Linked DNA regions of Nothobranchius furzeri. The protein of the gene in region 4 interacts with the protein of the main gene of each other region in a pairwise test. Links are inferred from orthologs where the notes say so. Each region holds a gene or a part of one and is shown on either strand. Other genes may lie near its edges. The genes, in order: pgrmc2, oprm1, zbtb22b and vapal.

Region 1 (6,301 bases), on a different chromosome or scaffold from region 4:
GGTAACCTTCGCAGGATGAGGGGGGTGGGGGGTCTGACACTTCAGTCCTCCCGGCCAAAACAGCTGCAGACACAGACAGATTCAGTGGGGCTGGAGAGCAGGGCATTATGGGTAAATGGGTGGGACAGAGCAGGAGGGGAGGAAGCCTGTTGCAGCTGCTTGGGGCTTCTGGCTTTGGTTAATGCAGTGGAAAGTGCTCAGTCGTGCTTTAGGTGGTCCTTGATGTCCTCCTCATCTGTGTATTCTGACGGTTCGTCTCCAGGCTTCAGCAACCTTCCAACATAATCGTATTTTTCTGAAAACACAACAAACGTATTTTATATATAATCAAGTTTAATAAAAGTGGCAGTGTGTTGTGTTCCTGCCACTAGGGGGCAGCACATACACACATTTCTGGGTAGTTTTACACCATATAATCGTGACCGTCGCTAGTTTAAAAAAACAATACGGTAAATGTTACCTCAGTGTGCTTGGGGTCCTGCACCTGCCGATGACATCATACTACGGTAATACCACTCGGCTAAAATGTATTGCATCCCTTTTTGATTCTGTTCTTTTACACAGATTTCAAAAAAAGTTTAGCAGTTTTGTTATTGAATTTGTGTTTCTTACTGCCTAAATATTTTTGAACGTGGTAACGTAACTTCAGGAAGTTGTACGTCTAGCCACTCATCTAATGTGACATCATCAACAGGCACAGGAGCCCAAGCCGGCCAGAAGGAAACATGGCGTCTAATATGGCGCCCCCCAAAGGCGCTAGACCCATGGACTATGCAGTTTAGACTTGATATTTTTTTGGTTATGTTACGAAGCCGCCAATACTTTTCAACTACTGGACATTTTACTCATTTCCAACATTTTGATGGACATTTCCAGAGAATAAAGGTAAAAATATACAGTTACTTTAAACTTATTTTCATTTACTGCAACCAGTAAGGGAATCTGGAGCTTTTATAATTTAGATTTGATGCTGTAATTTGAGACGACTTGTGTTGTAAACAGGATGAAGACGAGGCTCAAGGACAGTCTTACACATATTACATATTCAGTGTATTCTGTCTTTTTTCAGCCCATGTGGCAACAGCACTTGTTAGTTTAGTCTGATCTGACGCGAGATATTTCTGTTGAAACTTAAGCGGTCAGTTGGGTTACCAGGTTAAAGTACCTCAAATACCAATTCTACAATTATTCTGGTTTCAGCTTAAAGATAATAATTAACGCTCCTGTGTAAATGAGCTAAGCAGCAGCTTCACGTCTACAGGAGGACTAAAACTAGTCATTAGGGCTAGTGAGCTAAATAAAGTTAAAGAGCGTCACCCCCAAATCAACTTTTTTTCCTGATAAACTATATAAATGCGTGTCTAATCGTGCTGCAGACATGTGTAGTCAATTGTTTAGCACTTTAGTGCATTTTAGTTAAAATCTTAATTTTCTGCCTAAACGGTCAGTGTTGTGCCATTGTCAGGTAAAAATTCTGCATTTGAATTCAAATCTGTCATCGCTATTGGCTAAGAGGTACCTTAGAACGTTAGCTGGTACCATATGATGTCACAATGTCGCCGTGAGTCTGTGTGTGTGTATTTGTTAGCGGCTCCGCCATCTCAGTCTGCTAGACAACAGCATTCGTTGCATTTTTCAAACAGGAAGTGGGAGTGGAGTAATACTCTGGTAGGGGGTGACTTGCTCTTTAACATTTATCTTCAACTAAATATATGACTTTCTTTTCTTTATTAATCTAGTTGTTTTTGTACAATTAACTAAATTAAAACAAATGAAAATACATGTTCTCTCCTTTAAAAGGAACATAATCAAACCACACTCATTTAAGTTATAATCAACATAAAAAACAAGTCAGTCAGGTTTACCAGAATTAAAATGCATACCTTTAGATGTCTCTGCAGCATCTGCATCAAAGCAGCACTCAGTGAGCAGCTTATTTATTAGCTATAAACCAAATGTAAAAGCTTACCCATGAACTGCATCTCCCATTCCCTCACACTCTCCATCTGTACAGCGCTGAGATCAGATAGGTCGTCGTATTCGTCCCTCAGGGCGTTCTTCTCTAGGCAGAATGTGGCCAGGCCCCTCGAAGCATCCCGCCCAGCAAAAATACCATAAGGGCCGTCTGAAAGGAAAAAACAACACCCGTCAATAAGACCTGAAAAAGAAGAACTTCTTCTTGTGTTTTTCCCAGAAAGAGCATCAGTATGAGCTTCACAACAAGAAGTTTGATTTGTTTATTCTGTTAATTCCTTAAACACACAACGGCTGTTTGGTGTAATTCCTTGTTTACTGAAGCTTTTAACATGTTGTTTGGTCTTAACTATAGTGAAAGCCCTCTGCTTTACTTATTTAATGAATAATTTTATGTGAAAATTTCCTACAGGAGTAGAAGGTGACGCCAGCTGGTCTGACTGAGCTCCGCACAGGTTTCACAAGCATGAAAAACATTTCATTAAAACATCTTTAGTCATGTTCAAGCCATCATCTGACTCCCACGTGAAAAATCAGAGCTTTGTTGTGGAGAAGTGAGAAAATGGTTTTAAAGATATAGTGAATCAGAGTGCTTCCCTTTCACATGATGCCTGTGTGACCACAGCAAGGCTAGTGATAGTAGTTCTCTAACAGTTTATTTTTGGAAACAAGTAAAATCGTTTCTGAAACAGTTGAGATGAAAATCTCAGCTGCCTTCCACCGAGAGATGGACTGATTCATTTACGGGTATGTTTAAATTACCGAGCACTAACATTACCCTGTCTGAAAATACACCAGATGAAATTAAACTTTAAATTCCGGTGATACTGAACCCAACCCACACCCAGCTCATACTGACCGGGCTTGTTATAACAGTGAGACATAAAACGTATGTACAGCTCTAGAACATGTTTAAAGTGAAAATAGCTTTTATGTTTGGTGCCAGATATCAGCAGTGATGATAAGACATCTTCCTACAAATATCTGACCCTCTCAGTCATACCAGAACTGCTCTGCGGGGACGCGTCCCCGTCCAAAGTTAGTCTCATCAGTGTAAACAAGCGGCGTGTCCAGGCTAGTTATCAACAGGATAATTGCTGCAGGCAGAGGTTAGCCAAATTATTTTATTTTTTTTTACAAATTCTTCTCCTCCAGTGTTAATACAACTCCACCCAAAATAATTCACTGGTTCGCGGCTCAAAGATTGAATATGTGGAAATGTTGTTATTGTAACAGCTGTCGCAGCTAGCTAGCAGCTAATTCCATTCAAACCAAACAAAGCCAGGGAGCTAAGCTAGGCTAAGCTAAAATGGAGCGGTTTGCGCTCAAATTCTGGTCCAGGGCGACTCACTGCAGACGGCAACGTGTCAGCTAACTTCGCTATCAGAGCCACCCGCTCGTTGCCCGTTCACCTTTTCCATAAAACTTTTTGCCACTGGTCACGTCGAACACTTTCATGTTGACAGCCATGAGGATGCGAGGGTTCTGAAGCCCGTCATACTCCCGCAGCTGCTCCAAAGTGAAGTCCCGTCTCCGCATCTTGGGAAGTACCGAGGCCTCGTCGCCGTGGGCCGCGCCGGAGCCGAGCCGTCTACCCCACCGCCTGTATACCGCAAAACAAACAGCCACTACCAGAACCAAACTGCTGATATTCAACAACATTCCACTGAGCCCGAGCCCGTCTGGCTCCTCCGCTGTCCCCTGCCCGACCCTTGTGTCAACTGGTCCGCTCGAACTGTCTCCATCGTCCGCCATGCTGCACAGTTAGCACTACCCGCCCCTGGCCAGATGCTGCGTTCACGCTCCGTTGGAAATGGGAAGAACTCCAGCTTTGCGAGCGTGAAAATTACAAAGTCAAGGCGTTAACTACCTCCTTTAGTCGTAATAAATGAATAATTAAGTTCCAATAAATACAAATTCATAATAAAAGGTGTGTGTGAGCTTTTAAAGTAGCGTTTTAACTACATGTTTTTAGGAAATGACAATATTCACACCTTTATACTTAAATATTTAGAATAAAACGTAAACATTCACGTCTTATTTAGTTACATTTACATATTGAAATCTACCACATCGTAACAAATTTGGCAGGCTTTTACCTTCATAGTTTTTTCCGTTTCACGTCAGTCTAAACTGGCATGTTCTGGCGTGAGCGGCCTGTATAAATAAATCAAATATATAGAATCTGAACATCTCACCTCAATATGATTCCCCTTTTATATGATCTCCTTATAAGGTATTGATTGGTTTTATATTTTCTTTATGCTTGTTTTATTTCCATTCTGCTGGAACATTCGGGTTTCCTGTAAAAGTTACTTAGATGAAACCTAAAAAAAATACAAGACTCTGAAAATTTGTCGATTTATCCTTTTGAAAATTTTGGGACAAAGATTAAAGATGGAGCTGTAAACTGAATTATGCTGCTTCCAGGAGCTATTTTTGTAAACCCTGGGTAGATGTTTGATGCTCCTGTGAGGTCTTCAAAAACAAGATTAAACACTTAATTGCTTATGCAACTTTTGACATTCATTTTTATGAATATTTATTGAAGATTCATCTGCATCTTGTTCATCCATTGCACTTATGATACTGATGTCCCACTGTGGTTTTACCTCCAGCTGCATGTTGATATCTAAAGGTGAAAACAGTAAGTGGCTGGTGAAACCAACTAGAATTAGCAGAGCAGTAGAACAAATCACTCAAACACAACTTCATACAATCAGATGTTATTATATATATATATAGTTTTTTATTTTTTTGCATTTTACAATTCATCAAACATGCACTGCTTTATTCTGAAACACTCAAAAACACACTACTAATAAAACAAATTACTTTTAAAATCAAATGAATAATTGAATAGCAAATTATTTTCATAATATTTACATTTATCTTTTATTCTATCTCTAAAACCCATCAAGTCCAGTGAAGAAAAGTCATTTAATGGTAGTTTTGATGCTAGTTTATGCTCATAATCCCAACAGAAATATTTCATATTTTTCCTCACATTTAAAAGCAAAAGCATTAAAAACTGAAATGATCACCTAAGACTGTTCCATCAGTCAAGTCGATGCAATAGTTATATAAAACAATAAATTATGAGCTGTCTGTGGGTGGAACTAGTGGGGCTGGCTCGTTAGCTGCTTTCAAGCTAATACAAATCCAGGTTTGGTACAGGTTGTTGTTCCTGGGAGCTGTCTGCCCATGCCTGAACAAGAATTTATGGAGCAGGTTTGCTCACCATGAACGTGAAAGAGCCTCAATAAATGTCTGAATTTTATAACGACTGTTCTGGTGAGAAAATGGAACGCTGTAAAAAGATAAATGTTTGACAGAGCTGCAGCGTTTGACAGAAGTCTAAAGATGTTTGATTCTGTTCTTTATTTAGTGTCACTAGTTAGTTTGGTTTGGCTCTGCTCTAAAACACTTGACTGAATGAAGCTGACCCTCAGACACTTTAAAATCTGTTCTTTAAGTTAAAAAAAATCATTACTTTTGTATGTTTTTAATTAAACTGAGGAACGTCTGTTGGAGGAGCTTCTGTCTAATCTATGGCTGCAGCCGTCTACCTGATTGTCAAAAATGATAGAAAGCAGGATTATTTGTACTAATTAGTCATTAAACACACTCCATTCATCGTGATGAGGATTAAGGCACATGAGATTCTCCACAGCGTCTCCATCCAACACCTTCACGGTTTACAGCAATCAGTTTGGCATCAGAGTCAAAAGACAAAATGCGAGGAATGCATTTTTTTGTGTTGTTTTGTAAACATTATGAGCTCGCTGCCTATGCTTGCTGCTTTAAAGAAAAAAGCTCTGATAAAAACAATCTAATTAACACTACGTCTTTCTTCATGACCAAACGGTTTGTTTGTGAAATACGCTGAGCTGAGCTGCAGCTCCATCCACGTCAGGATCATTTCTCCTGCTTAGCACCATCCTTCCTTCCTGCTCGGCTGCTAGCCTTCTCCCTGTGGACAGGCGGGGCTTTCTGGGTGGCGTCTTTGACGGAGGAGGCTGCAGCGCTGGAGGGTTTAGAGGCCTTGGTGGGATTGGAGATAGAGTTGGAAGAATGTCGATGGCGTTCTTCATCCCTGCCTGAGGAGGAGTGATGTCTTCTCCTGCCCCCCGCCCCTCCTATTGGAGGCTGCAGACACACATTCGTCACAATACTTAAGGTCCCCAGGAAGGTTTCAGCCATCTTATCAGTTAATAATCTGGAAGCCAAGTGCGTCAGTAAATAATAGAGAAAGGCTTACCACCACCCTGAAGTCCTCCAGGTTCTTGAACTTGTGAAGATGCTCCTGCAGCTTTGGATCTATGGG
Region 2 (5,769 bases), on a different chromosome or scaffold from region 4:
TAAAAAAGCAACACCATACGTTATGCAATGAGGTAAACGTTTCCTTCTTTATAAAGTCTCATAAAAATACTGGCTCACTGAATGCAGTGAAGAGAGAAACTGGGAAATAAAAGGCATCTTGCACAACGATACGCGACAACACTTAAGCAGTTTTACAGATGACACCAGATGTCCAGCTCCGATAGGCTCACCTGTTAGGCTCCCCAGAGGAGAAATGGCTCCTCCTAAAGCCGCTGTAATGGCTGTTAAACGGAGGTTAATCATACACCGTGTTTGCTCTGGATCTTTTAACAGTATGCTATGTGTGCAGTTCAAACAAGCTGATGCATCTTGTTTGCTGGTTTGGAGCACCCACTGTTTGGCACTAGCGTCCGCTGTGGTGGACACAGATGATTTCCTGTCTGAACAGGAGAGAACCTAGAACTCGCCATATCATGCTTTCAAAGGCTTTATACACCTCAAGTTGGATTGAAGAATTATGTATCGTCTGAAGTGAGGAGCAGAAATGGACCACTCCATAATTCTGAAGTGACCCAGGTCCAGCGTGGTGCCAAGCCGATTGGTGTTAAACTCTGAGGTCAACCCCTGTTGCAGCTGCACAAAGGCTTGTGGAAAAGCACAGCTGATCCCAATGACTGTCAACTGCACTTTCTGCTCAGAAAAGTCCCCGCGCAGGCATAAAGCCTTGGAGCTTTTGAGTGAAGGAACACTTGAAATTCACATTTTTAATAACTCACCGTGTTATTTTGACATGTGGTAATATTTAGCAATAACTTCTGACAAAGGAATGGCATTGAGTTATGAAGGCAAATGATGGATCTGTTGGCAGAACCTGGACGAAGCAGCGATGTTGAAGCAGATCAGCGAGGCAGAGTCTATAAAAATCATCATATAACCAGAGAGCAAAAGACATTTTAGTGATAAAACATTAGATTTTTTATACTGCCTGGAACATCCTTCTTCTTATGGTGGTATTTTTAATAAATATTTAATTTAATCTAAATATTTCATGCTGTTTTTAATTTGGACTGCCGAGTACAAACAAACATGCAGCCACGCAGCTTCTGAGCACAAGTCAGCAGGTTTCCAGCCACCATGAAATGTGCCAGCCACCTTTGTCCAAGTGCACGTGTGGTTTTTTGTTCCCCCGAGCGTGGGATTAAAGCCCCGTGGTGACCTGTGTGAGTTCTGAGTTGAGATCATCGTTGGCAACGCCACCACGACAGCGAGAGTCCATCGACGACCCCTCCAAGGCTAGTCATACCTGCAGAGGGAGAACAAAGTGTGTCCGTGTCAATTCAACCAATATTTTCACTCTAAAAGTGTTGCAATTTACCACAGTGAATCGTTTCTTTCACAGATAAGTCCATAATATTACTGATAGGGGAACTCATTGTCATGTTACACTGTCAAAAAATCTTAGATTTTACGATAAAAGAGCCCTGGGTGGCCTTTTGGCAACAGAGGTGCCTATTGGGGCCAGTGGGGGAGCTGGCTCCCTGGAGGGCTTAAGCCCAGCCAGCCATTCCTCCCCATACCCACACATTTTTCTCCTCCTGCTCCCTCACATCATCACACAAACATGCACATAGGACCTTGGGGGGGTGGACAAGTCAGGGGGTGCAGGTATGGACCCCATTTCCACATTCCTGTGGCAATCTGCCCCCCAATTTTATTTGCACCATAAACACTTCCACCAACGACATTCCACGCAAACACTTGGGGTCTTGGGAGTGAGCACATTCAACGGCATTTGGCAGGGGGATTTTTCAGCCTCATTCTGAGTGCTGGTGCCCACTTCCCATTTTAAACTGCACTTAGACACTAAGGGCTGTGGGTGCAAGTGGGGTGGTGTGGTGGCATCAGCTGGCGTAGGCTAGACGATGCCCGCGTTGCCCGCTCACCACAGCCATGGACTACACCTCATCAACATGCACTAACACTATATTGGAGCAAGCGGAGGGAGATTAGGGGTCTTAGCACACCTCTGTTGTTGCTTGGCTTCCCGGAGCTGGAGGCTAGGAGGGGGATCTGGCCATCTGGTTGGGGTCTGGGGTGGTGGGTTGCTTTGCTCAGTGTTGGGCGGGGGAGTCTGCTCATCAGCATCCCAGCAGAAAGGGTCGAACTCTGGGAACCGGTAATGGTTTTACCCCATGTGCAGCAGTACCGGGACCAGAGTGAATAGGGTGTGTATGGGGAGCATGAGTGGGTGTCCGGCATGCATTTTTGTAAGTCTTTGGTTGTATGTGTATGTGTGAGCATGAGGGAGGGAGTGTATTACTGTGTCTGTGTATGACTGTATATGTCAGGTGGGGCCTTTGACTCCTCCCTCCTCCTGGGACTTCTTTTGATGCTATACATCTTCATCTCCCCTCCCCCTGCCACACCTGGTGTGGAGTGTGGTGCCTTGGTCTGCCTGAGTGTTCGTGGTTAGGGGGTTTAAGATTTTTGGTGTCTGCCTGATCAGTCCCGGTGGCTGCCTGGTGGGATCTGGGTCCCTGGGCTCTGCTGGGTCCCCGGCGGGGTTGGTCGCCCCTGGGTCCTGGGCTCGGCTGGCTGGGGGGTGGGAGGCTGCGGGCGGGCCTGTGGGCTTGCCGCTGATATCTCACAGGACTCTGCCGGATGCTGGTTGTGGCCCCCCGGGGCAATCCTCTGCGCCTCTCGAGGGGGGCAGGGGCTTTTCTGGTTGCAGTCTCCCTGGGGTCCCTGCACTCTGGGGCAGCTCCTGGATCTCTGAGACTTGGAGCTCCTACACATCTTTGGGGGCAGATCTGTGGCCCCTCACACTCTCTATTGGACGCTCCTATAGAGAAACCTTACATATGCAAGCGCGGGTACGCACACAGGTGCTCACATGGTGCTCTCATAAGTATGGACTTGGGCACGTTCAACACATGCCTTGAGGCTGTGGTTGGCACTTAATACACTGTGATTTATTATCGTGTGATTGTTCAGTAAAACATTGTTGATTTAATATTTTCTCATCAGGTTGATACAGTGATTGTTTGCTCCTGTTGTATTGTTGTGTGTTGTTTTTCTTTTTTTTCTCCTTCTGCAGGTCTAGAAGCAGACTCTTGTTCATCATTGATTGTTTATTTTGTGCCAGACTTCACCTAAATGCCGTTAAGCTCACTGGGAAACAGGAAGTAAATTCTCCCCAGCAACTGCTACAATTTTTTTTTGTGTCTCTAAAAGGCACGCGAGTGCCGCTACCAAAATATGTTGACTGAAACACCACAGAAGAAGTGAGCTTGTCACATGATCAAATTAATTTACTTAATGGCTAATGGCTAATAATCGTTAAGGGCATCAATAACTTGTTAAAGAAATCTTGGAAAATCTGCATCCCTAATGCTGTATAATCTAGTGTTTTCATGTGACATTAATGTAAAATTCACAACGTTAAAGGCCCAATGTGTGATATTTCATCTTATAAGTTATCAAATTTCTTGTATCACATTCTCAAATTTGTTTTTTTTTAATGATAATTCAAACAAGCATTTATTCTAAGCATTATTATTAGCTTTATATTTTAATATTTTAGACAAAAGAAGCAGACCGGTGCTCCATATGGCATGCGCCATCTTAAAATACAGTGACCTTTTAGGGACATACAACATATTAAGCTTCGCATTTGATGTTTGCGTTTTTAAATGATGTAACCTCAAAGAAACAGCAGGGGGCAGAAGTGCGCCTTGTAAGCATGCAGTCTGACAAAGTAACTAAGAAGAAGAAGAAACTAGCCACACCGTACTTCTAGCGATGGAGGATCACACATATTCTACAAGCAAACTTGAGAAACGGGATAGTTTGAAAGTGCTTGAAAGCGCCGATCTTCTAGACTTTATTGCAGCTCTGCCTCTTCCTCTTGTGCGTGGAACGTTGCGGCTGGTTTGAGCAAATTCGGCTCCTTCATCTTGGGATGCTTGCCCTGCTTCTGTCGCATGTCTAACACCTCTGCCTCTCTGTGCGCTGGCACACGTCTGTCCTCTCCCTCTTCCTCTCCCTCTTCCTCTCCCTCTTCCTCGCCCTCTTCCTCTCCCTCGTCCTCTGTCTGTCTTCACTGATGAACCATCGGATGATATCTGACTCTGTTTACGGAGAGAAAACAATTACAGACTACACTACCTTGTATATTTCCAAAATGGCAAATAGAAATATAACATTTCTCAAATAAAATGAACAAAATATTGTCATTTTTTGTAGTCAGAAGTCATCACTAACTAGCTGCCGTTTGCTATTAGCAAACATAACTGACATAAAAAAGTTTTTCTTATTCAAAACCTATTTAGATTAAATTAATAAAATAAGTTAGATGAAAACAACTAACCTGTTCGCTGACTTGAAAGCTGGAATTAGATGATGACATGCTGCCGTTTACAGCAACACGATTTTGTATTGTATTTGTTATATTTGTTAATAAAGTTTTAAATAATGATTAAAAAAACCCTTTTTGATCCTCGGGGGCTCCAATAGCTGCAATACCAACTATAAACTGCGTGGTGCTAAAGAGTCGGATCTTTTTACTATGATTTCTGTGAATTTCACACACGGGGCCTTTAAATTACACCATGTATCCGTTATCAGCAATTAAAAGCTGTAATGTTTTCAATTAATAAATGTAAAAATCATAGTGTTTATACCGTTGATGAAAAAAGCTGACGAAAGAGTGCTTTACTGTGGGAATATGTATTTTATTCAAAGAATTTATAAATTACTGTTTTCACCAGTGGCAACACCACATTAAATCAACAGTTTTAAATAGTTTTATAGCTGACGGTTTTTTCCTGTTATGGTTTTACGGTTTATCATTGTTAAATAAACAGTAATTTTTTACAGTGTACAGCCACTTTACACAAACTGGATCAGATTTGTCTAAATTATTAAGCATATTTGGGATTTAAAAATAAAAAATAACAACTGAAGAGTGAAAATACATATGCACATTCTTTACAAGACAATTGGATGTTTTCATTTTAATTTACTTATCTTCAATTGGGACACAAATGCAATATTTTTCATTTCTCAAAAAAATAAGTGCAAAAAACAGTAACAAAGAAAGTGATTTATTTTTGATAGACTACTGAACTGGGTGGGAATTTCAGGTACAGCCCATAGTTGGTTTCAATCACAACTTGCAGACAGGAATAATGTTTCCATTGGTGAAAAAAATCAAAGCAAATCGCACTGATATGCAGTGTCCCCCAAGGCCCGATTCTTGGATCACTGCTTTTCAATCGCTACATGCTTCCACTGGGTCAGGTCATAAACAATAACAACATCACCTACCAAAGTTTTGCAGATGACACCCAGATCTACATAGCTCCATCACCTAATGAATCTGGTCTCCTAGACTTACTCTGTCAGTGCATAGAGCAAGTTAATGACAGGTTTCCTTCAGTTTAACAAAGACAAGACTGTAGTTATTGTGTTCGGAAATAAGAATGATAGGATAGAGGTTATTTCTCAACTTAGCTTCAAAGGAATAAAGACAAAGACTCAGGTTAGAAACCTTAGTGTTACCATTGATTCAGACCTGAGCTTCCCTGTTCACATCAATGCTATAACTAGATTAGCGTTTTACCGTCTCCATCAATTAGCAAGAATCAGAGGTCTCATGTCAAAACAAGACCTAAAGAAACTAACTCATGCATTCATCTCCAGTGGGCTGGATTATTGCAATGGTCTTCATGGTCTTCCAGAAACAGCTGTAAAACAATCGCAGCTTATTCAGAAAGCTGATGCTAGAGTCTTAACAAGAACCAAAAT
Region 3 (6,326 bases), on a different chromosome or scaffold from region 4:
TGCTGTATTAGAAATGCTGATTTATTTATCTTCGCAGGTGAACGACTGCGTCATCGGGACGGCGAGCTCCAACAAAAAGTAGAAATTAAGCCTCCAATTTTGTTTTTTAACCTTATTATTTACACAATCACATAGTGACTCCATGGTTCAGTTTGAAGCCTGGTCTACACGTGTCTCACTTGTAAAAACCAAAAAAAAAATTGTTTTGTCTCAGGCACTCTTACAGGCTTTAGCCTCTTTTTGTAAATAGATTTTTGTTTAGCTTTTTTTAAACTTTAATTAAAATTGTATGAATTTTACTAATGAAAACCATCATATTCTGTTTTTTTCCATCCTTTATTGTTGTAAATCCACTGCAGAAACATCTAGTTTTATTACCAATGCTGACTTCTGATCTCCTTTTCTTGTTGGGTCTTAATAAATATTTTACCTGAGCTGCTCCTGTTTTTAAATGACGTATATTCTTACTTCTCCAAGAAAAAACACTTGGCCAATATAGTAGACCACTTTTTAACATTTCAAGAATTTTATTTCGGAGTGATATATAAATATTAGTTGAATAAGATTTTTGTACAGTATTTTGCATCAAAGATCAGTACTAAATACTCTGTGTAGTTTGGCACATACCGTTTTCATGATAGTTACAATAGACTTCCTGTTAGAATTGAACCCTTTTATTTTGAAGGGACAATTTCCTGTTGAGGGGAAACGCAAGCTTAACTGAAAATAATGGTACGCTACTTTTTTTTTTTCCACCAGAAGGTCGTGCTAGACAGGTTTTTAGGCGGAACTTTTACTTTTTGAATAAAACACAAATGTTAAAATAATAACTACATATCTACAGTACTATAAGACCGATATTTAAACAAATTATCAGCTAAACAAGTTGGTTTGGGTGCTACTTGCTCTTTAAAGAGCAAGTCAACCCCTACCAGAGTCTAACTCCACTCCCACTTCATGTTAGCCTAGAGAACTAGACCAAATTGTTGCTTTGCAAAGTTTGAAAGTTTAAATAATTTATTTAGTCTGGCTTGCCAGGCTAACTTCATGTTTGAAAAATGCAACAACTGCTGTTGCTTGGCAGACCGAAGGCAGAGCTGCTAACAAATACACAAACACACAGGCTCACGACAGCATTGTGACATCATAATGTACCAGTTTACATCATAGCATACCTCTTAGCCAATTTAAAGGCAGATTTAAATTAAAACAGTGCAGAGTTCCTGACAACGGCACAACACTGCCAGTTTTAGGCAGAATATTTAAATTTTAACCAAGATGCACTGAAGTGCAAAATATGTGTCTGCAGCACGATTACACTCGTTTATTATTGTAATCGAGTCACCTTAGTTCCTGGAAGTTACTCTGGTTATACCATAGACTGTAAATACGTGTCATGCTGCGGACACAGGGGAGGCCAGGTGTGTAATCAGAGGGCTGCTATAATTAGGGCAGCTGGGGTCTAGCCGCAAGAGCGGAATGCCTCGCTGTGGGTGCAGCCAAGTGTGTGAGCAGGACTGAGGGGTGAACAGCCGGAATTTTCATTGGCAAGCGGTCGGCCGATGAGACCTTAGCCTGCTACTGTTTTTCCAGTTCTTTTATTAAATCTTTTCTAGTTCTTTTATTAAACCGTTTGCCGGTTTTATCTTATTACTAATCGTTTTCTCCAGAGGGGGAAGGAAGCAAACTTGTGAGTCGGGTGGTTAGCGTTAAGCACAGTGCTGTCTCTGGGAGGCTAGCTTCTTTTAGAGTATCCGCTGTAGGAGTTTTCGGGGTTTTACTCACTTCTGGGTGACGTGTGTATGAGCTTTAGTTAAAGGGAGCACTGAGGCCCTGTCCACACGTAGCCGGGGATCTGCCAAAACGTAGACATTTTTCTACGTTTTGGCCTGTCATCCACACGAAAACGGATCTTTTTAAAAACTCCGGCCAAAGTGAAGATCTGTGTTTTCTCTGTTTTGGGTGTCTGCGTGTGGACAGACAAAACCGGAGTTTTAAGGTCCGCAACGTCACTTTCCGCGACAAAAAATGCTGACATCACGTGTGCGACCTGTGTTTACACTAGCTGACAGCATGGATGCCCTCAGAGCTGCGCACTGTCACTACCCGATCCCTCAATTGTCCAAGTGCTTTCTGCTTGTTTGTTTTTGCAAGCGGAATTACTGCTCCTTGCGGAAGACCACAGACGAGGTTAAGAACGGGGGAAGTACTGCCGCCTACAGGTCTGGCATGTCCTTAACAACGTATTTATCCGGGTACATGTGGACAGAGTTTTGTTTTAAAACGCGGTGGTGTGGATGCAAGTTTTTGGAGGGGCGGATATTCGTTTTCAAAAAACCCGGCTACGTGTGGACTAGGCCTGAGTGTTTTTCTTTATATTATTGTCTCTTGTCTCGGTTCCCTACAGCGGCTTTGTGCTTTTAAATAGTAGTTGGATGGCGTTGTGTGTAGTCCCAGGGCCAGCATTGTCGTCGCTCCTCCCTCTCGTGGTTTAGAGTTTTAGCCTATTTTTATCCCGACCTGGGTTGTCTTTAATAAATCTCCTGTGCTGTATCTTCTAAATAAAATTGTTAAACTTGTGACTAAGCCTCTGCTACGGTTTTAGGATGTAAGCATCCAACCCTCTAGGTCACATTTAGTTTATCAGCAAAACAAAGTTTATTTGGGGGTGACTTGCTCTTTAAAGGTCTGATTTTGTGTCGGCTAAAGTCTGGCTGTCTGTCTGGGGGTCGTTAAAGGCGACGCGTCGTTGTCTGCCGCCGCAGAAATCCGACCAGAACAAGTCCGTTTAAAAATGCTCCTGAAAGTTCGGGTTCTGGATGACCAGGCGGGTCGGGCTGCCCCTTTCTCTCCCACAGACTGGAGCTTTGAGGGCGGCAGAGACTGAAACGGTGAGCCGAACGTCCGCTTTTAGCCCACCGCCTAAGCTAACAGCTGCTAGCATCATGCTAACAGCACATCTGTAACGGAGTGACGGATTTTACAGATGTTTCCCTGACAGATGTGCACGATCAGCTACATAACATTTCACCGGTTTGTAGTTTTAATTTGTAACTTGAGTTTTAATCAACTAAAAGTAAGTTTGTGCCACAGATGAATGAACAAAATGTTGTCTGACACGTTTGACTCAAAACAAGGAACATAATCTGCAGTTTTCTGTCGGACTTGATATAAACTGTAGTTCTGCAGCATCATTGTGTTGTCATTAATCTGCTGTTACCTCTGTGGTTTAATCAGGATGTTTAACGGGAACTAAAAGCTGCAGGTTTTCAGACATAAACAAGATGATCGGTTTGTTATTGATCGTAAAATCTGACTTTCTGGCATTTTAGGGTTTCATTACATTAGTTTTAGGTTACTGATGAGCTTTAAATTGCTTTTTTATACATGGTTTACTACAGAGATCCTAATCTTGTCTGCAGCTTATTTCCTTTCTAAACACAAGGATGCACTTTAAATAATTTGTTGTTTTTTAGCACCAGATGACGTTTTTTTCTGGATTTTTTATTTATAAGAGGTTTAAATTGTCTGATAGGTTAGTCCAGATTATATGATTCACTTTTTCAAACTGCAATAAAAACTTTTGTTCATAAAAAAAACTAATTCTGAATCATATTTGGAGTGACTTAAAGCAGTTGCACTGAGTTGATGCTTTTCTACCATCCAGATGCAGTCGGTGTCCATGGAGGTGGGAAGCAGCAGATCAGGTGGTTCTGTGGTTCAGGTGAGCTTCCCCAGCGCTCAGACGTCTGTTCTGGACAGCCTGAACCGTCAGAGGGAGGACGGTAGTCTCTGTGATCTCTCCATCCACGTCCAGGGACACGTGTTCAAGGCTCACCGCTGCGTCCTCGCTGCTTCCTCGCCGTACTTCCATGACCAGGTCTGACTTCACTAAACCAGATAACAGTTACACACAAATCAGTTCAGTGTGTTAGACAAAAGTCACTAGTGTCTAAAAACACAAAATCCTAAAATTACAAAGCCATGATTAATTGTGTCTGCAGGATTTCTTTTTGCTTTTAGTTCATTTTTAATTAACCAGGAAAGTCTGGGGGGTCCTTCTTGAACCGTCACCTTATCATGATGGAGGAGTTTGAGTGCCCTAATGATCCTAGGAGCTATGATGTCTGGGGCACTTTGTGCCCCTAGTAGGGTCTCCCATGACACATGGGTTTTAGGTGAAGGGTGCGACAAAGAACAGTTCACAGGATCTTTCATGGACATTAAAACAAAGAGTCAGAGTACCCGGCCCGGAGGGTTACCGGGGTCACACCTTGGAGCCAGGCCTGGGGTTGGGGCCCGTGAGCGAGCGCCTGGTGGCACATGGGCTCATCCAACTGTGGACCCACCACCCGCAGGAGGAACATGAAGGGTCCGGTGCAATGTGGATCGGGTGGCAGACCAAGGCGGGAGTCTTGGCGGTCCGATCCCTGGACAAGGAAACTGGTTTTTGGGACATGGAACATCACCTCGCTGGCGGGGAAGGAGCAGGAGCTTGTGGCAGAGGTTGAGCGGTACCGGCTAGATATAGTCGGACTCGCCTCGACACATAGCATTGGCTCTGGAACCCAAGTCCTTGAGAGGGGTTGGATACTCTCCTTTGCTGGAGTTGCTCCGGGGGAGAGGTGGAGGGCTGGGGTTGGCTTTTTGTTAGCCCCGAGACTCTCTGCCTGTGTGTTGGGGTTTACCCCGGGGGACGAGAGGGTAGCTTCCCTGCGCCTTCGGGTCGGGGAAAGGGTCCTGACTTGTTTGTGCTTATGGGCCAAATATCAGTTCAGAGTACCCACCCTTTTTGGAGTCCCTGGGACGAGTGCTAGATAGTGCTCCATCAGGGGACTCCATTGTCCTGCTGGGGGAATTCAATGCTCACGTGGGCAATGACAGCATGACCTGGAGGGGTGTGAATGGGAGGAACGGCCCACCTAATCTGAACTCAAGTGGTGTTTCGTTACTGGACTTCTGTGCAAACCGCAGTTTGGCCATAACGAACACCATGCCCATCGGTACACTTGGTACCAGGGCAGCCTAGGTCGCAGGTCGATAATAGACTTTGTAGTTGTATCATCTGACCTGCGGCCGTATGTTTTGGACACCCGAGTGAAGAGAGGAGCGGAGCTGTCAACTGATCACCACCTGGTGGTGAGTTGGATCAGATGGCAGGGGAAGATGTCGCGTAAACCTGGCAGACCCAAACGCATAGTGAGGGTCTGCTGGGAACGCCTGGCAGAAGAACCTGTTAAGACGGTCTTCAACTCCCACCTCCAGAGGAGGGTGAGTTTGGTCCGCATAGCCGGTAGTAAGTCGGACCTGTTCCAGGTGAGGGTTGGACTCCACCAGGGCTGCCCTTTGTCACCGGTTCTGTTCATTACCTTTATGGACAGAATTTCTAGGCGCAACCGTGGTGTGGAGTGTGTCGAGTTTGGTGGCAGGAGAATCTCGTCTCTGCTTTTTGCGGATGATGTGGTCCTCCTAGCTTCATCCAGCTCTGACCTTCAGCTCTTGCTGGGTAGGTTCACGGCCGAGTGTGAAGCGGCTGGGATGAGGATCAGCACCTCCAAATCTGAGACCATGGTTCTCGACCAGAAAAGGGCGGCTTGCCAACTCTGGATCGGGGGAGAGGTCCTACGTCAAGTGGAGGAGTTTAAGTATCTCGGGGTCTTGTTCACGAGTGAGGGTAGGAGGGATCGGGAGATCGACAGGCGGATTGGTTCGGCGTCTGCAGTGATGCGGACGCTGAGCCGATCTGTCGTGGTGAAGAGGGAGCTGAGCCAGAAAGCCAGGCTCTCGATTTACCGGTCGATCTACGTCCCAATCCTCACCTATGGTCATGAGCTTTGGGTAATGACCGAAAGAACGAGATCGCGGATACAAGCGGCCGAAATGAGTTTCCTCCGTAGGGTGGCCGGGCTCAGCCTTAGAGATAGGGTGAGGAGCTCGGACATTCGGGAGGGACTCGGAGTAGAACCGCTGCTCCTCCGGATCGAAAGGAGCCAGTTGAGGTGGTTTGGGCATCTGGTCAGGATGCCTCCTGGACGCCTCCCTGGGGAGGTGTTTCAGGCATGTCCTGCCGGCAGGAGGCCCCCGGGTCGACCCGGACCCGGATAAGTGGAGGAAGACGACGACGAGGAGTCTGGGGTTAAAAACCTCTTTAAGGAAGTCCTGGGAAGGATTAATGTTAGAATGATGCGTGTTTGCTTTAATTAACTGATTAATTAATTTATTATATTAACAAAATTAAAACAGAACAAAAACATTCATGCAGGACCATGTCCTATCCAAATATTTAGTCAGGTATCAAAAAAAGATGTTTTTACAGAAAGAAAACC
Region 4 (6,542 bases):
TGAGTCAGCCATTATCAGACAAAGAGCTTCGTCAACAATGAACAGACCTGTCAGTATTGTAAGTTTCTCCTCTAATATATAATATTTGCCCTCTGTGTGCTCCGCTCATCTTTTCTCTGTTGGGAATCTCCAGACGGGGTGGGGGTGAAGGGGGTATTTCGGTTTTCGGCCATGTTTTCCTCATTTTCTGTTTCAGCCAAGAGTTTTCATTTCTGTGCATCCCTAAATTAAAATCTTCTATTCAGCATTGTGTATTTGCTTCAGCAAAAGTGTTTTCAGACAGGTGGAAAGCTTTCTAACAAGCCTTTCACTTGCACCCCCCCCCCCCCACACACACACACACACACCACCCCTCCAATAGATACACCATCTGATATCTATGCAAGGCTTTGCTCAAAAAACATTTAAGTCTTTCATGGCACTGTTAAAGCTCTCATTCACTTGCTTTTTCAACAAATCTACAGTGTTCTCTGGTATAAATGAATACCTTGTGAGATTATTCTGTGGAGAAAAACTCCTGTTTTAAATGTAGTGGTTAGTTGGAGGAGTGGGGAGGGTGCAAAATGACAGGAATATGAGTCTTACTCATGACACGTAAATCTCGCGCTTCTTTCTTGAGTAAATAAAAGCAACGTAGATGTGTTATCTCTGCAAATCACAAGCCTGAATGTGTTCCACCTTATTGTGTAATAGCTAATGGTTCGTTTCTACTAGCCGAGACATTTGCTGTTCTCTCCTGGCGGCCAAAATGAATATAGCCTTCGCCCGCCGCTGCAAATCAAAGTAGGTGGGGCCATGAATTAGAGCTGGACAATAATTCCCTTTTTCATTATAATCTATCAGGTAGCAGCATACTAGACTCACTACTTACTCCTAACCAATCAAAACCACAGACTCAGGCACGCTACGTCACCAGGCCCTCCCCTTCTCAAGCCAAATAGAGTAAGATGTCTCAGCGAGAGGTGGAGAAATAATTAAAAATACCAAAAATAAATTGGCCAGGGCCAGTAAAATATATTTTCTACAATTTTTTAAAATATTTTTCAATAATTATCTATATCGATCAATATAAAATTATTGTTATCGATATACTGTTTTTCTATATCATCCAGCCCTACCATGAATGCAAATTTTCCCTGCGACATACAGTGCGTTTACATGCATCCAGTAACCCTTTTAAAACCCGAATATTCACAATAACCCGGTTCCGCAGGTCCGTGTAAACACCGCCAGAAACCCGGATATGCTCATAACCGGGTTTTTAAAAACCCGGTTACTACACCTGGGGTAACCCTTTTCTAACCAGAATGTTTGGTCGTGTAAACGCATATCGGGATATCCACATCAAAGCGTGTGTTCTGCGCATGCTCTGTTCGCAAGGAATCTTGGTCTTTTGAGTAGCAAGACGTCTTGTATGCGCCAGAACACCGGAAGTAAACAAGTTGGGAGCAAAATGGCGAGTCGCGGCACAGCACCACACTTTCGGAGTGACGAGGAAACTAAAGCGCAAACAAACGCGGTCGCTATCTCTTCCGAACTGGGAAAAATGTTGTTGTTTTCACGGATACCGGAACGAGAAGAACCGGAAATGACGCATATTGCGTCTGGACGTAGTCCACACGTCCTGACGCTACCCCAACCTCCGCATTTACATCGGGTTATGCAAGTTAGGGGTAACTCTTTCTATTTGTGCTTGTAAACGGGTTATTCTGATCAACTCAGAAACCCGAATGCCGACCTTAACCCGATCATAACCCGGATATTGGCTGCATGTAAACGTAGTCATAGAAGAGCCTGGCTTTTTCTGACCTGAATGATTCTCCATTTGTTTCTTTTCTGCAGCTAATACAGGCAATGGGGCTTGGAGAAAATCTTTCACAGTCAGCCTACATGTGAAACTCAAGGAGTTAATGATCACATTTGAAAAACAAGTATTACAGTTTCCCAGTTAACGAGAACTTTAATACAGGTTTTTAACAACATCAAACCTCACCAGAAGTCACAGTCTATTCCATATCCGATCATATCATGAGCTGTGAAAAAGCAATCATCAAAATGTCACTTTATGTTGGTTGATTTTCTGTCTTTCACCTTCCTTTAGGAACAATGTTCTGAAAAACATGTTATGCGACAATAATAACAAGACACAGTCATGTGGATTAAACAAAGCATCAGATAAAACGCTTTGTTGTAATTAAGTCAATGAAGTTATTCAAATATAATCAATTTACAGCATATTTTTCTGACAATTTAGTTCTGAAAAGCTTCCTCGAGGAGTTGAGAAGCTTTATTTTACATTAACACAATCATTGACAAGTTTGCTAAGTGAATGTGACATAGTCCTGCTTTTTCACACCCTGTGATATCATCAGGGACAGAATTATTTTTATAACTGAACCCCATTCAGAGGCTATCTTTTGGCTCTGTTTTTAGAAATGGTGACCTTTGAATAAAATCCTGTCAAATCAACACATAATACTCACTCAGATGTTCTTTGGTTAGTAGTAATTGAAAAATCACAACAGGTTGTGACTGCATTCATTAGTAAACAAACAGGGGTGCAGTTTTAACTGTCTGAAAATGACTAAATTAAAGTATTAAACTTCATTTTTACATGCCTATTTATACTATGAAAAAGTATGATGGTGACAATGATGCCTGAGAGCGTAGAAAATGGGACAATTACAAAAAGCAGGAGAATTCTAGGTCAGGAGGATAAATGAGCACCGTAAATGATAAGGATAGAGAAGAAGTATTTAAAATTTACCAGGGATTATGGACTGCACAGAATTAGGCAGAGCAGTCTTCTGTCACCCTGTGAACTTGTTTGGAGCAACAGTTGGTTTAAAAGAAAGTCTTAAGTTTCCTTTAAATTGTTAATTATGTCACAGATTGTTTAAAGAGCAGGTAATGAACCAAGCTACACACCAACTTTAGCAGGTTAGATAACCTACAGCGAGCTGACACATCACTCTTTATCACTGCCAAGAAACAAAATCAGTGTTAGCCTGACTATAAACGTGTGCTTGCATCCATGTTTTTGTCCATAACATATGAAAAGTCTCCTAAGAGTCTATAGGTTTAATATAAACTGTTCAATAAGGACATTTCTACTAAAAGTACATAGTTACTTTCTCAGCTGAGTTTCTCATTCAGTTACTAACAGACCGTCATTAAAAAGCTTTTTCCTCAAGTCATTGAGCTGCCACAATGTTCATCAATGTCCACTTAATTAGCAATGAATTTAACGCTAAGTCTGCCAGAAAACAACTCTTTTTCTGCTGCCAACATTGGCGGCACTAGCATAGTAAAAACGTTACGCCTAAAGTGAATAAACCCGCAAACAAACCACAAAACATCTTGTTTTAATGCAATTTTAAAACCGCAGCTCAGAACCATAACGCTTCTTTACGAGCTGGCCGGGAGCGGTAGGCCGCCTAGACGTTCTCATCGCCGGATATCCACGTCACCACAGCTCGAGGCTCCAACGGCCTATCCTTTCCCTGGCTAACTTAAAATGGCGGTGAATGCTAACAGCCGGAGTGTGAAAAAAATCCATCCAGGTGGGTTAACAGTTCTGCTCAAACGAGCCTAACCATCCAAATAGACATTTTCGTTTCCCTACCTTTAAATTTGAGGTCGCAGGGAGGGTCTAAGATTAAAACCTGATCCGGCTTGGACATTTTAGCGAGTCAAACGCTGAGTGACTTCTGGTCCTGAAAGGCGCATCTGCGTACAAATACTTCACCGAATCACCGCGCGAGAGCTCAGCCCTCCGCGGCGCGCGCCGCGTCCTCGTGGCTCTCTAACAAATAAGATAATCCTGCACTAAAATCATTAAACACTGACATGTTTAGAGGGAAGAACATCTGATAAAACTGCACAACAGTCCTGATTTGACCCGCACAAAGGTGAACGCGAGGTTGCGGATGATTGTGATGTGGTGCAGTTTTGTGAAAGAGTAAAATAACAAGTCTAAATTCATTATTTTTGTTTCAGATTTTTCTATTTTGTGACAAATAAGCCAAAAACAGACATAACACAAACGAAAAGTCAACAGAATAGGGAAAAAATAAAAATATATTTTAACCAGTAAAACAGGGGTGTCCAATGTGTGTCCAGCAGGTCTCCGGGTGATTTTTGCCCTTTGTATTTTCAAAAAAAATAAAAATAAAAAACTTTTTTTACTGATAAAAGGCCTAACAACATTTCCAATAAATTAATTTTTTTGAAAACTGTTATTAAAGTTCTACTAAATTATTTTATTGCGATAATTATTTTTAAAGGAAGAGGCAGTTTTGACTTGCTTTAATCACCCCTTAGTGTCCGTTTAGTAGAACCAAAAGCAAAACTTATCTCCTCGCTGTGCGTTCGTCGTTTTAACACCATCTAAGAGCTGAAATGTCTCCCCAGCCTTCATTAGTGTCTACAGCAGTAATGCATCACTAAATCAAACATGTCAGCTGTGTTCATGATCTAATACATACAGGAAAAATGCTGGCAGCAGATTACAGCGCCAGGTATGTCAGCTCAGTTTTTTTTTCCAGGTCCAAATCTCTCTCTGCAGTCTAGTCCAAATGACCAAACTGCACTCTGAAGTTGCAACTGCAGTACACTGGCCTCAGAGAGTGGTGGGGGTCTGTGTGACATTTCATGAACCCTGTAAAGGGTCATTTTAACACATACTGGCTCATGAAAATTATTACAAATCATAAAGTTGCCTAGTATGCGTTTAAGACCAAGAAAATCTATTTATCAAATGTAATGTTTTTGTTTTACTAATGCAAACACAAGATCCCTTTACTGTCTGGACACTTTATTCCACTTGCACAAACATACAGTAGGTGGGCTGTCATTTCAACACAATAAAAATGTTTGTTTTATTGTATTTAGCATCTATCTTGTTTATTTTAGACCTCAGTTATACTCTCAGCATCCAGCGGGGGCAGCAAAGTAGGAATTTCATCGTTCAGCTGCTTACTGCACATATAACAATAAAGCTTTTAGCGTTAATGTCTCATAAATGCAACTTTTTTTAATTAAAGCTTTAATATTACATGTTTATTGTGTTGTTGAGCAGGTCAAAATATTTTTTGTAAAAGTAATTACTAAAAATATCCTAGATTTTTACTATTATCTTGGCTATTTTAGTTTCTGGTTTGGGCATCACTAGATTTTATTTCAAAATAAATCACTCTAGGACTTCTTAAAATAAAAATATGCATTTTTCAATTCAAAATGATAAACTATGATTTCCTCGACGCTTTAATATTGCTGATATATTTGAATTTGGCTACAATTTAATCCAAATGAGTTGAAATTTCCATTAATTTGTTATGTCACCTGATTATCGTAGTTTTAAAGATCTACGTGATAGTTAGAAAAGGGGTTTTATTTCATTAATAAAATTTGTACTGGCTGCTGATGCACCGTCATTTTATCTTTGGCATATTGCTTTATCAATTAGATAGGATTGTAATCTTTTTAGACATGCCTCTAATTTATGTCCTTCAAAAATAAAGGCATGATGAAAACTAGAAGAAAGAGTACGATTATAATTTTATTACAATGTCAGTGACTTCTACACAGAATACATGAGAACAAATACTTGCATACAAATGAGGTTAAATGGAAACTATAGGCACTTTTAAAGATATGGGTACCGTCAGACTGCACCAAAAGCTGATATTCACTTTTAGCCATGTCATACATTTTTAAGAAACAATAAAAAAGACACATGTGTGAATCTAAACAGCATTTTAACAAAGGAGCATGTCCATAAGTGTAACATTCAGCTTTTAGGTGACTTTCACGTATCGCTTTAGGGGAATAACTGTTAGACATCGGGGAAACACCGTAGTCACAAGTCTGACATTTACTCAGAATAAAATCTGATGAGTCTAGAAAACCACGAGCGAAAGGTCACTGCCAATCTCGCTTCCAGAGGTTTGTGTTGAACGTTTTCCAAGTGAAGAAACACAGTTTGGCTAATTAATGAATGGATTTTGGTGTAAACTGTCCACACTAACATCAGCATAGATGGGCGTTTATAAAGTATTTTACTATAAATAAGAGATTTCATTATTACATCCCACAAATTGATAAAAAAAATAAGTTGTTTGACTTTGCAGCACATTCAGATAGAAAAAAAGTGTTTAACATTTTTTTTAAAGTACATATTTTTTGTTTGTATACATGATCCAAAGTTTAGGGTCCTATTAACACAGAGTTCAGGTAGTACAAAAACTATCTCATCGAACTGGACTTATTTGCTGTAAATTACTGTCTGCTCTTTAAACAGTAAATACAAGCAAACTCCAAGTTTAGCTGCTGTTTGCTGTAGCCAATTCTCAAACAAACAGAAAACATGTTTATCAAACCATTATGTAAACAACTAACACTGGTCACGCCGTTGCAGCAGTTAGATGTCATGATGTGATTAAGATTTCAGCGTTTTAACAGTTTGTTCCGCAGCTAAACAACGGAAATAAACGAGTGCACGTGAAACGCACACCTAAGGTTTTTACATCTTACTTTAAAAC

What was found.
Region 1: the proteins of vapal (region 4) and pgrmc2 interact in binary tests that used the Homo sapiens proteins (3 or more experiments, as listed by UniProt). The link is inferred for Nothobranchius furzeri from reciprocal best matches to the Homo sapiens genes VAPA and PGRMC2.
Region 2: the proteins of vapal (region 4) and oprm1 interact in binary tests that used the Homo sapiens proteins (3 or more experiments, as listed by UniProt). The link is inferred for Nothobranchius furzeri from reciprocal best matches to the Homo sapiens genes VAPA and OPRM1.
Region 3: the proteins of vapal (region 4) and zbtb22b interact in binary tests that used the Homo sapiens proteins (3 or more experiments, as listed by UniProt). The two-hybrid records come from large-scale screens. The link is inferred for Nothobranchius furzeri from reciprocal best matches to the Homo sapiens genes VAPA and ZBTB22.

Annotation. Positions count from the first base shown.
Region 1 is NC_091758.1:17,715,878-17,722,178, reverse strand, and holds the start of pgrmc2 (membrane-associated progesterone receptor component 2), read right to left. Parts: upstream 3,776-6,301; 5' UTR 3,730-3,775; coding exon 3,387-3,729; intron 2,126-3,386; coding exon 1,970-2,125; intron 296-1,969; coding exon 198-295; 3' UTR 1-197. Other genes in the region: larp1b (la-related protein 1B), read right to left, coding at 5,893-6,123, 6,236-6,301. UniProt on the Homo sapiens protein: Required for the maintenance of uterine histoarchitecture and normal female reproductive lifespan. May serve as a universal non-classical progesterone receptor in the uterus.
Region 2 is NC_091752.1:24,311,352-24,317,120, forward strand, and holds the end of oprm1 (mu-type opioid receptor), read right to left. Parts: intron 4,092-5,769; coding exon 3,771-4,091; 3' UTR 1,278-3,770; downstream 1-1,277. UniProt on the Homo sapiens protein: Receptor for endogenous opioids such as beta-endorphin and endomorphin. Receptor for natural and synthetic opioids including morphine, heroin, DAMGO, fentanyl, etorphine, buprenorphin and methadone.
Region 3 is NC_091759.1:22,812,172-22,818,497, reverse strand, and holds the start of zbtb22b (zinc finger and BTB domain-containing protein 22b), read left to right. Parts: upstream 1-2,672; 5' UTR 2,673-2,819; coding exon 2,820-2,891; intron 2,892-3,667; coding exon 3,668-3,880; intron 3,881-6,326. Other genes in the region: kinesin-like protein KIFC1, read left to right, coding at 38-82. UniProt on the Homo sapiens protein: May be involved in transcriptional regulation.
Region 4 is NC_091751.1:42,858,743-42,865,284, reverse strand, and holds the start of vapal (VAMP (vesicle-associated membrane protein)-associated protein A, like), read right to left. Parts: upstream 3,780-6,542; 5' UTR 3,684-3,779; coding exon 3,626-3,683; intron 1-3,625. UniProt on the Homo sapiens protein: Endoplasmic reticulum (ER)-anchored protein that mediates the formation of contact sites between the ER and endosomes via interaction with FFAT motif-containing proteins such as STARD3 or WDR44.